Linked DNA regions of Caenorhabditis elegans. The protein of the gene in region 1 interacts with the protein of each later gene in a pairwise test. Each region holds a gene or a part of one and is shown in the gene's direction. Other genes may lie near its edges. The genes, in order: nhr-111, gst-19 and gad-1.

Evidence for each region.
Region 2: the proteins of nhr-111 (region 1) and gst-19 interact in a two-hybrid assay, tested with the Caenorhabditis elegans proteins (2 studies listed by BioGRID).
Region 3: the proteins of nhr-111 (region 1) and gad-1 interact in a two-hybrid assay, tested with the Caenorhabditis elegans proteins (2 studies listed by BioGRID).

What each region holds. Positions count from the first base shown.
Region 1 is NC_003283.11:16,122,720-16,126,472, reverse strand, and holds nhr-111 (Nuclear hormone receptor family member nhr-111), read left to right. Parts: upstream 1-1,633; 5' UTR 1,634-1,691; coding exon 1,692-1,743; intron 1,744-2,151; coding exon 2,152-2,262; intron 2,263-2,304; coding exon 2,305-2,475; intron 2,476-2,671; coding exon 2,672-2,811; intron 2,812-2,866; coding exon 2,867-2,956; intron 2,957-2,997; coding exon 2,998-3,169; intron 3,170-3,218; coding exon 3,219-3,418; 3' UTR 3,419-3,578; downstream 3,579-3,753. Other genes in the region: fbxa-143 (F-box domain-containing protein), read left to right, coding at 1-356, 404-610. UniProt on the Caenorhabditis elegans protein: Orphan nuclear receptor.
Region 2 is NC_003280.10:13,625,103-13,628,855, reverse strand, and holds gst-19 (glutathione transferase), read left to right. Parts: upstream 1-1,710; 5' UTR 1,711-1,714; coding exon 1,715-1,847; intron 1,848-2,780; coding exon 2,781-3,271; 3' UTR 3,272-3,311; downstream 3,312-3,753. Other genes in the region: gst-17 (glutathione transferase), read left to right, coding at 203-222, 293-797.
Region 3 is NC_003283.11:6,431,767-6,435,519, reverse strand, and holds the start of gad-1 (Gastrulation defective protein 1), read left to right. Parts: upstream 1-2,023; 5' UTR 2,024-2,032; coding exon 2,033-2,225; intron 2,226-2,272; coding exon 2,273-3,018; intron 3,019-3,066; coding exon 3,067-3,245; intron 3,246-3,289; coding exon 3,290-3,609; intron 3,610-3,656; coding exon 3,657-3,753. Other genes in the region: erfa-1 (Eukaryotic peptide chain release factor subunit 1), read right to left, coding at 1-50, 99-832, 879-1,204, 1,251-1,360.

The sequences.
Region 1 (3,753 bases):
AGCTTTCTGTTGATGTTGAGCAAACTGGGACTTATTTTTCAACTCTTCTTGATGTTTTGAAATCCTCCATGTCTTGCCTACACGTTAAAAAGTTTCATGGGACAGATTTCTCCGAGGAGCAGCTTCTATTAGTGATCCCTTTCCTAAAAGCTGGATATCTTGAAAAAATTGAGCTGCTTTCCAATGAGCCCACAGATCTCGAGAAAATCGCTAAACTTGAGCAATGGAAAAGAGCACAAGTTTTTGATTCGTTCTGGAAGAGTTATAAGGTTTCTGTCGAGGATATGCTCCATTTCAGAGAGTTCTATGTAATTGTACCTTGCTTTTCAAAAGAGGATGCAGTAAAACTGAGAGATGTAAGTTTAAATAAAAAATCGAAAAAAAATCCAAGTATTATTTTCAGTTGCTCACAAAATCAGTGGACTTCGAGAACGGGTGCTTCAAGTTCCCCGAAACCAACATTATCGAAATAGTGAGAGTTTTCATTCTGGACTACGAAGGAGAAGAACGGGCCAAAATTGATTATAACGAGAATGGCACAGATTTTATCTTGGACTTTAGCACAGAACACTTTCGATTGACAAAAAAGAAGATTGTGGACAGTGACTGAAATTAAATTTTAAAAAATATGATTTTTTTTAAAAGTTTTTGTATTGAATAAATTTGAGACAGACCGACGGCTCGAATTTCAGGTCAAAAGTAGAATTTTGCAGTTTGCATAATTTCAGTTTTTGATCACCCCATTCAGTAGGGAGCCATAAAAAATGGAATGATGATTAATATGCTCTTCTGAAAAATTAGACTTGTGTAAACACAGTGACGGATAACGACGTACGATTCGATAAAAAGGAATAGCTGCGGGAAATGGTGAGCACATGTGTAGGCTAGGAAGCAGTAGGCATTTTTTAGATGTGTTTGGTGCGGTTCAGTCAATTTTTTGCTGGGCTTTTGTGCTTCACATTGAGAGCGTTTTGATATTTTTGACTAGAAACTGAATGTGAGAAAATACTTGTTTCCGAGTATACTAGATGCTATACATAGGTTTTACAGTTTTATATCTTTATTGCATTTAACTGAAAATGACCAAAATCTGAAAAGTACGTAATTGGAAAATGTATGTCAAATTTCAGAATTTAATTAAATATACAACTGAATCGAAATCTGAATATTCTGAAATTTTCAATGAAGATCTCAGTTTTTTTTCCACCATCTTTTGCGCTAGGTTAGCTTAAAGACATTTTTCGTTTAAAATGAAAAAGTATTTAAATGAAAAATGACATATATTACGAAAATTTCCGCTTTCAGAAAATGTGATATCATATATTTCCAGCGGACAATTTCCGCATTTCTATGACTCAACAATTTATAGTCCAAATTTTATTTCAATTCGATCATTCCCTAGTGAATGTTTGCTTCTGATTGATTTCAACTTTAAATACACAAGTGATCTGAAGTATGGTATATCTGCAAAAAATTTTAGAGAGATTGCTGCTCAACTTTTGGCACCTTTTCTCTCGTTTCTCTAACTGTCACTTTATCCTTCTTGTACTAAGCCGGCTGCCTCCAACAGGTCAAGTGGGAGGAGTCGTGATTAGAAGTTGAGCAGTAACCAAATTATTTTTATGCTATTATTGTAGATACTGACAGGATATTCTCAACTTACTCAACGAGAGAATATTTAACAAAAAAAGATGAGCAGCCAAAATGCGAAGTCAATCGGTGGCATTTTGGAAACTTCAACAGGTATGCCCCAATTTATGGGATCGAAAAATTTTTTCATGCTTTAACTAGATAATTACTCAACTCACCGAAATGTATAAATGAAAGCATTTGGTAAAATATATCAGAAAATTTTTAGAAGTCGAAAACAAACTTGCAACGTTGTTTTCTAGATTTTGGAATTTTTTTGACATTTTCGAACAGATTGATAGCAATTTTTGTACTATACTTGTTGACATCTCAAAAATGTATTCTATGTTTCCATTATTTAGATCCCAGTTACGTTATAACCTGACAGAGGTTTGCGGGCGGTAAGTAGAAAAACCAGAAGCTTACAAAACTTGACCGCACTTATCAGCTTCTCAATTTACTTAGTTCAAAAGTTTTATGACAGAAGATTTACAATCTTTCACGCATATCTATAACTTTCAGTGCCTCTGGTCATCCAACCGCAGATTGTAAATGACCCCGCGCAAAACAACATAACTCTTCCAATCACGCTTTGTGCAGTTTGTGGGGACACTTCTAACGGAAATCATTACGGTTGGAAAGAAGATTTAGAAACTAGATAACAATGAATTTTAGGTGTGCCAACCTGTTTCGGATGCAGTGGGTTCTTCAGAAGAACCGTTAGAAACAAGTTGGTACATGGATGTTGGAATGGAGACGGAAACTGTGTGATTGATAAAGCGAACCGGAACAGGTGCAAGTCCTGTCGAATTAAAAAGTGCTTCAAGAAGGGGATGAATAAGAATGGTAAGCTGCTTCTCTGAGTTTGGGCTTCAGATCATTAACTTTGTGTTTGCACCATATAGTGCGGTAGGTATTTTTCAGTGGCCGACATTTTTTTGAGTTTCGCGCCGCACCATATTAACAAAGGCCTGAGGCCGGCAGAAGCCTCCTGAAGCCGGCGAAGGCGACACAGTTTCGTCTCTAAATAATTATTTTCCAGCTGTGCAACCCGAGAGAACTTCCCATAGCTACACTGTAGAGTATGTCGAGTTGCCCTCATTCCGAGAGTATTCCAAGGGACTTCTGCCTACTCACTCTGATCGTCTCAGATTCCAACACGAACATGCTCAACATGAAATTGTTAGTTAATCAGGAGACAAACTATCAACCTGAGACACCACAAATTTAATTTCAGGACACAAGCTCCGTGCTAGTTCATCTGAAAAACGCACTCCAGTGGGTGCAACAGTTTTCGCTCTTCGCAGTGCTTTCCGATGTTGAAAAGGTCTAAATGCCAAACATAAAAGTCATTAAAAAAATTTCCAGAGCCAGATCATACTGACCCAGTGGCCACATCTTTTGTGCCTCGCGTTGTTCGAAAACTCCGAAAAAATCTTCATCGATGAAAAATTTGCACAACTGGCTGAGAAATTCAAATCCCTCGAACTTTCGGCGCAGGATTATTTCCTCTTGAAGGGAATTATTATTTTCACGGAAAGTAAGTTTAACTAGAAAAGCTGCTGAGCTTTCAGAAACTAAAATTTCAGCCAAAGATGGCACTGATCTCAAATTCGATCGCCAACTTGATATCTGTATCGGCCTTCTCAATCAGTTGCACCTGGAGTCTTCAAAGTCCAAATCTGGAAGGCTTCTATTTCTCCTCGGCGAGCTTAAATCCTATTCTACTAGACAGCTTGAATCTCTCCTGGATCTTAAAGCTTGTGAGATTGTGATTAGTTTTCTTTAAATTTTGACTATTTTTCTGATGCTGTTATATGCACACATTACCCCCATTTTGCTCACTAGTAGTGCTCAGCTTAAGCTTAGACTTAGGCTTACGGTTAAGCTTAGGCTAAGGCTTAGGCCTTGGCATAGGTCCTGGCTTAGAGATTTTCATTTAATTTGCAACTGTTTCCTCAAAAACAATGTTCAAACCCAAATTTCTTTCCTATTTTTTCTCCAGATTCCCCCAAGGCAACCAAATTTTTTAAACAATTTTCTTCTCGATCAGTTGAAATACTTCCAAAAACGTTACAACGATTTTGAACAGTTTTTTTACAAGTCAAAACAGTAGTTGGCTGC
Region 2 (3,753 bases), on another chromosome or scaffold:
TTTGCAAAGTTGCCAGAAATTTCAATTCCGGCAATTTGCAAAGTTGCCGAAAATGTTATGAAAAACTGGTGGAAAAGCGAATCATTTACTCTTGGAGAAAACCCTCTCTCTCGATTCGTGGGCTCGCGGAGCCCGCGAGGCTCATGTTCCATTCAGCTGGAGTACCTTTTGAAGATGTACGTATGGTTTTTCCGAGTTGTGAATGGGACAAAAAGAAGAAAAGTGAGTTTTTTTTTGCTTTCGGAAATTTCAGAAGGATTCCAAAAAAAAATTCCCAGCAAAATTGTTACAGCGACCCCAATGCACACTACAGCGACCCCAATGCACACTACAGCGACCCCAATGAATTTGAAATTCCTCAGTCTGGAGCAATCAATAGCTACCTTGCCAGAAAATTCGGATTCGCTGGAAAAACCGCAAAGGATCAAGCCTGGGTAGACGCTACAACTGATCTTTACAAAGACTTTTTCGAAGTCTTCCGAAAAATGATCCGAGCAAGACGAAACAAACTTCCAGCCGATGAGCTCGCAAAGCTCACCTCTGAGATCCTAATTCCTGCTAGACATCCATATTTTGAAATTCTCAATGGTATTTTGGAGAGGAACAAGTCAGGATATCTTGTTGGAGATGACATAACTTTGGCAGATCTTGCCATATCCGAAAATGTAGACAGTCTCAAAAACTATGGACTTTTCAAGGCTGAAGAGCAGCCAAAATTGGCAGCTCTCCGTGAAAAAGTGTATTCACACTCGGCTCTTAAGAACTATATTGCTAATCGTCCATTTACTGAGCATTGATTTTTTTTCCAAAACTAATTGCTAAATAAAATTTTTTGTAATAGTACAATATATATACATATCAGGGGTGGGCGACAAACAATTAACTCCGGCAAATCGGCAAACGGGCAAATTTCTGGAATTGAAATTTTTCGGCAAATTGGCAAATTTCCAGAATTGAAATTTTCCGGCAAATCGGCAAATTTCCAGAATTGAAATTTTCGGCAAATCGGCAAATTTCCAGAATTAAAATTTTCGGCAAATCGGCAAACCGGCAAATTTCCAGAATTGAAATTTTCGGCAAATCGGCAACTTTCCAGAATTGAAATGTTCCGGCAAATCGGCAACTTTCCAGAATTAAAATTTTCGGCAAATTGGCAAATTTCCAGAATTGAAATTTTCCGGCAAATCGGCAAATTTCCAGAATTGAATTTTCGGCAAATCGGCAAACCGGCAAATTTCCAGAATTGAAATTTTCGGCAAATCGGCAAACCGGCAAATTTCCAGAATTGAAATTTTCCGGCAAACCGGCAACTTTCCAGAATTGAAATTTTCCGGCAAATCGGCAAACAAATCAAATTGTGGTTTTGCACATTTTTTTGAAATTTCCGAATTTCAATTTTAATCAGCAAAACATCTTGAATTTTCCTACATCTATTTTGGAAAGTAAGCAAATTATTGGCTATTTGCCGAAAATCTAAATTTCCGGCAGATCGGCAAACCGTCAATGTATACATATATATATCATTTTTTCAATTTTTCGATAGTGAAGTTTATAACTATAATACTATGTGACTCTAGAGAAATTCAAAGAAACCAAGACGCAGACGCCTAGACAAACGGACGTGACTTTAGCCATGCACTGTTTCATTGAGGTTTACTCTAGTTCAGGGCCATATATAAACAACTATGCCCACCATGACAGAATTCAAACAATCATGCCTTCCTACAAATTTACCTATTTCCCGTTTCGTGGGCTCGGCGAGCCGGTGAGACTTTTGTTCCATCTAGCTGATTGCCCGTTTAAAGATGAACGGTTTAGTTTTGAGGAGTGGGGAGCTGTGAAGTCAAGTGAGTTTGGGTTTTATTTTATAGTTTTTTAGGTAGAAAATTTGAATTTTCAAAAAATTAAATTTTATATAATAAACAGGTTTAAAACAGGGGTGTGCGGCAAATCTCAAAATTTGCAGAGCTCGACAAATTCGGCAATCTATCTTTTCAAAATTTTCCGTGCTGGGCAAATTAGACAAATTTGCCGAGCTCAGCAAAAGGCAAACTTGGCAAATCTACTTTTTTCGAATTTTTTCCGTTCTGGGCAATTTCGGCAAATTTGCCGGGCTGGACAAATTTGGCAAAATTGCGGTGATGGGCAAATTCGGCAAATCTACTTTTTTTCGAAATTTGCCGGGCTCGGCAATTGGCAAATCCGGCAAATCTTGTTTTTTTTTATTTTCGAAAATTTACAGTGCTGGGCAAATTCGGAAAATTTGCCGAGCTCAGCAATCGGCAAATTCGCCAAATCTACTTTTTCGAAATTTGCCGTGCTGGGCAAATTAGGCAAATTTGCCGTGCTCAGCAAAAGGCAAACTTGGCAAATCTACTTTTTTCGAATTTTTTCCGTTCTGGGCAACTTCGGCAAATTTGCCGGGCTGGACAAATTTGGCAAAATTGCGGTGATGGACAAATTCGGCAAATCTACTTTTTTTTCGAAATTTGCCGGGCTCGGCAATTGGCAAATCCGGCAAATCTTGTTTTTTTTTCGAAAATTTACAGTGCTGGGCAAATTCGGCAAATTTGCCAAGCTCAGCAATCGGCAAATTCGGCAAATTGGGCAAATTTGCCGCACACCCCTTGTTTAAAATGTCGAAAAAAAAATTATTTTGAAAGAAACTCAAATTAAAACCTTTCAAAATTTTTTCAGCTTTCAAATTTGTTGAAATTTTTATTTTTCAAAAATTATTAACGAACATTCAAAGCCCAGAAAAAATATTTTTCCAATTCCAGAGTCCCCAATGGGTCAGCTACCCATCCTAGGCGTCGACGGACTTGAGATCCCCCAATCTGCTGCAATTCTCCGCTACCTTGCTCTGAAATTCGGATTTGCTGGGAAAACTCCAGAGGATCGAGCTTGGGTGGACGCCGTAGTCGATCGGTTCAAGGATTTCTTCGTAGAATTCAAAAAGTTCCTGGTTGCAAAGCGTGGCGGAAAATCAGAGGAAGAAGTCGCAAAAGTTGTGTCAGAATCTGTAGTCCCAGCTATGGAATCCTACTTTAAGCTTCTCAATGGTCTGCTGGAAAGAAGCAAGTCCGGATTCCTGATCGGAAATTCTATTACTTACGCGGATCTTGTAGTCGTCAATAATCTGGAGACTCTTAGAAACTTTGGATTTCTGAATGCATCGGAGCAACCGAAATTGACGGCTCTTCTAGAGAAAGTGTACTCGCAGCCAGGGATCAAGGAATATGTATCTAGTCGTACAGCTTCTGATTTTTAGTTTTTTTCTATGTTCTCTATAAATGAATTTATAATTATGGGTCAAATCTTTTTATTTTACACTTCAAATCACATGACACATACATAAATACAAATGGCTTAAAATGAATATTCGGCAACTGAACTTGCTTCAATATACTCCTTAACTCCTGGATAAGAAACCACTTTCTCGCGAAGAGCTGCCCAGCTTTGGAAATTACGATGCTTCAAAGAACCCGTAGTTTTTCAGAGTCTCCAGATTATCAACAACGACAAGATCCGCAAAAGTGATGCCACTCCCGAGGAGAAATCCCTACTTGTTCTTTTCCAGAAGCCCATTAAGGATGTTGAAGTAGGTATTTCTAGCAGGCAAGAACATCTCGGATTTGATCTTTTCAAGTTCTTCCTTGGATTTTCCACTGCGTCGTTCTGCGGTAAACTTTTTGAATCGAAGATAGAAATCTTTGAATAGATCGTGGACAGCGTCCACCCAGGCTTCTTCCT
Region 3 (3,753 bases), 9.7 Mb from region 1:
GCTCCTTCTTGCGACTTATCTGTGACGATTTCCAAAGCTGCTCCGAAGTTCTACAAAACATTAATAAAAAATTAAATTTCGATAAAGCGAGCGCCCACCTTGTAGTTATTAGCAAACCATTCCAAAAGTGGCATAGTCTCAATAATTTCCATATCTTGTCCAGTTTCACTGTCGGTGAAATGAGATTTGTCCTTCTCCTCGTCAGGTCTCAGATTCAGAAGAATGTCCTCTCCGAGTGAATTTTTCATCTTGTACCGAACAATATCCAAATTCTCCCAGCAGATGAGAGTTTCAATAGCTCCCATTTCAAGTGCGGCAAGAGTGTCTTTAACTCCGAAAACGTATTTTCCAGTGTCTTGGCTGATTTCATCGAAATATCCACCAATCAGTTTCTTTTCCTGAATGAACTTAACACTTGCCAGCGTATCGGCAGCAAGTTCAATAGCTTGGTTGAAACCATTTTCACCACCATAAGCAATATCGACAGTCTTGATCATCTTGGCTTGAAGTCTTTGATCAAACATATCAGATTGTCCCAACTCTGTCTTGAAATCTGCACTACCAGCAAGAATAAGTCCAGCAACTGTAACCTTGTCGTTCTTGATAAATTGTTCCACCGAATTTTCAGCTACTTTACGGACGTAATTGTGCCGCTTCTCATTACGGAGACGAGCAAAACGGACAGCAGATTGACCTCCTCTACCGTGCTTCTTTGGAAGATCGACAGTGAACTTGTGCAGAACTTCACGAGTGTTTCCTTGGAGTGTTCCGAACAGACAACCGTTTCCATCCATAATGATAAATCCGAACTTGTTATCGTCAGCAAGAAGACCTGAAAAATGGTATATTTTATGATGCATGATGAAAATTAGAAATACCTTGAAGAGCTTCGGTGTGAAATTTGTTGTCGCAGAGATACAATGAAGTATTGATTGCTTTGAATGGCTCAAAATCAATGTTAACTTTCTTTTCCTTTCCTTCGTCGGTCATGATTGTTCCACAGTAAACGACCAATCCATTTGGTGGGACTTTGTTGTAGAGTTTCAATCTTCCCTGTACTGATGTGATAGCTCCCAAAACGGAAAGTCTGTTGACACGAGACTTGATGTTAGATGCCGTTCCGTACTCTTCGGCCAACATTCTCTGGATTCTAGCCACTTGATCTTTTGGTGGAATGATCAGCGAAATCATAGAAGTTCCATTTCTGTAAAAAAACAAATGTAAAATAAACGCTTCACGAAAATAGTTACCCTCTGGCTAATTCCAAACTTTTGATGAGCCGTTTAATTTTCCACATTTCGACATTTCTATCGGCGGCGTCATCGCCTCCGGCGGTAGCACCTGCTGCGGGAGCGCTCATATTCTATTTGTGCTGCACGTCACCGATTACCTGTAATTGTATTATATAAAACACGAAAAGAGAGTTAAAGTAATTAATTCGGGGAAGAAACTCAAAAATGCGAAAAAAAAGATATTTATAGAGAACTGGTTATTCTACATTGCACAGAGTTGTGATGGAAAATTAGAATATTGTGCAACATGTTGCAATGGTTTCAATTTGATTTTTTTAGAAGAAAATGTATTTCGTTTTCTCTGAGCAATGACAAAATGATGAATAAAACATTTCTGAACAATTTAAACTGCAAAAATCGATAATTGATGACGCGTAAAAACTTTAAAAACTGAAAATGGGAAAAGAATTTAAATGGTGCCAAGGAACACGAATACGGTTTGTGGAAGGGTCTCGGCGCGAAGTAATGTCCGATTGTCCACACTTTCTCCGCGGCCTAGTCTCCGAAACAAGTCAGCCACGTCCTCAATGTTCGAAATTCGAAAACATTTTTCAGCTTTCATCAGAACTCCAGGACTGTTTCCAGAATTTATTAGTTTTTTTCGCCAAAATATTATATATGTACCACGGCAGTTCATTATATTGGTTGTATTACACGTTTCTTTTCGTTATTAACTCTTTTTTTCCCGTTACCGCCTAATAGATGAAAACGAATTTCAATAATTCTTTCAGATCACCACAATGGATGATAATACGGCTCCAAAAAAGAATTCTGAAAAGAAGGCACGCGTCTTTGACCTCCAAGCAATGTTCGCGCAAACGATAAGCAATGCTCCCAGAACTGAGGAACCAACTCACGTTCCGCAGTCGGTATCGGTGTCTTCTAAATCAGAATCTGGTGTTTCTTCTTCAGCTGTATCTGATGATGAAGATGGTAAGCCGAATATAATGTTTTAATTATTTCAAATTTGTTTTTTCCAGATTTCATGCCAGATCTACCTCCAGGATTCCAAATGCAACAGTCTGAAGCGGGCCCCTCCTCGTCTCGAGCTGAAGGTCCCGAAGATAGTGATGATAGCGATTTTGACGAGACAGAAGCAATCTCCATCATCAAACTGATTCCAGCTGCATGTGAAGCGAAGATCAGCCATGGCACTCAAGCCATCAGTGCACTTCGGGTTGAGCCTCCTGGTGTTCGGTTTGCCAGTGGAGGGCTTGACTATTACGTGAAGCTGTTCGATTTTCAAAAAATGGACATGTCAATGAGATACGACAAAGAGCTTCTGCCTGCAGAAAGTCACGTTATCAATTCCCTGGCATTCTCTCCGAACGGCGAAACTCTTGTAGTAGCTAGTGGAGAAGCTATCATTCGCCTACTGGATCGAGCAGGAAAACAATGGTCTGAAACAGTTCGTGGAGATCAGTATATTATTGATTTAAACATCACTAAAGGACACACAGCAACAGTTAACTGTGTCGAATTCAATCCACTAAACAAGAACGAGTTTATCTCTTGTTCTGATGATGGAAGTCTACGACTATGGAACCTCGATGATCATAAAGTAATCACCAAATGCATCAACAAGCACAGGAAAGTCATCAAAACAAAAGGAGCTAATGGAAAACGTGTCAGCCCGCAAGTTTGCACGTTTTCTCCTGACGGAAAATGGATTGCCGCCGGTTGTGATGACGGATCTGTTCAAGCATGGAAGTATGGATCGCAATATGTAAGTTGAAGTTCAAAAACACTGTTTATTCTCATATTTTAATTTTAGGTCAATGTAAATTACCTTGTACGCAAAGCTCACAACGGCTCGATTACTTCTATTGCTTTTTCGCCCGATTCAAAGAGATTACTGTCTAGAGGTTTTGATGACACTCTGAAGATGTGGAGCTTAGATAACCCAAAAGAGCCGCTTCTTGTGAAAACCGGTCTCGAAAACGCTTTCAAAAGGTATCCTTCTATTAAAAACTTCACCATAAGTATATTTTTTGTAGTACTGATTGCGGATTCTCCCCTCGTGCCGAGGTTGTCTTCACTGGTACATCGTCACCCAACAAGGATACACCTGGAACATTACAATTCTTTGATCCAATGACATTTGATCTTGTCTATAAAATTGATTACCCTGGAATTTCGTGCCACCGAATTCAGTGGCACCCGCGATTGAATCAAATTATCGCTGGACTCTCGGATGGCACCATTCACGTGTACTACGATCAAACGATGTCACAGCGAGGAGTTATGTCATGTGTGACGAAGCCACTCAAAAGAAATCGCGCATCTGAAGTTGTTCGAGAAGATATGGTTCTTTCTCGTAAGTTAAACAATTTTTTTCGAAAAATATTTATCTTCATATTTCAGCTCTTTCCCTCGAAATGTTCCAACCGCGCGGAGAGGAAGGAGAAGAAAAGGAAGTCACTGGATGGAGAATCAAGAAGTATCTCCGAATGCAGGATAA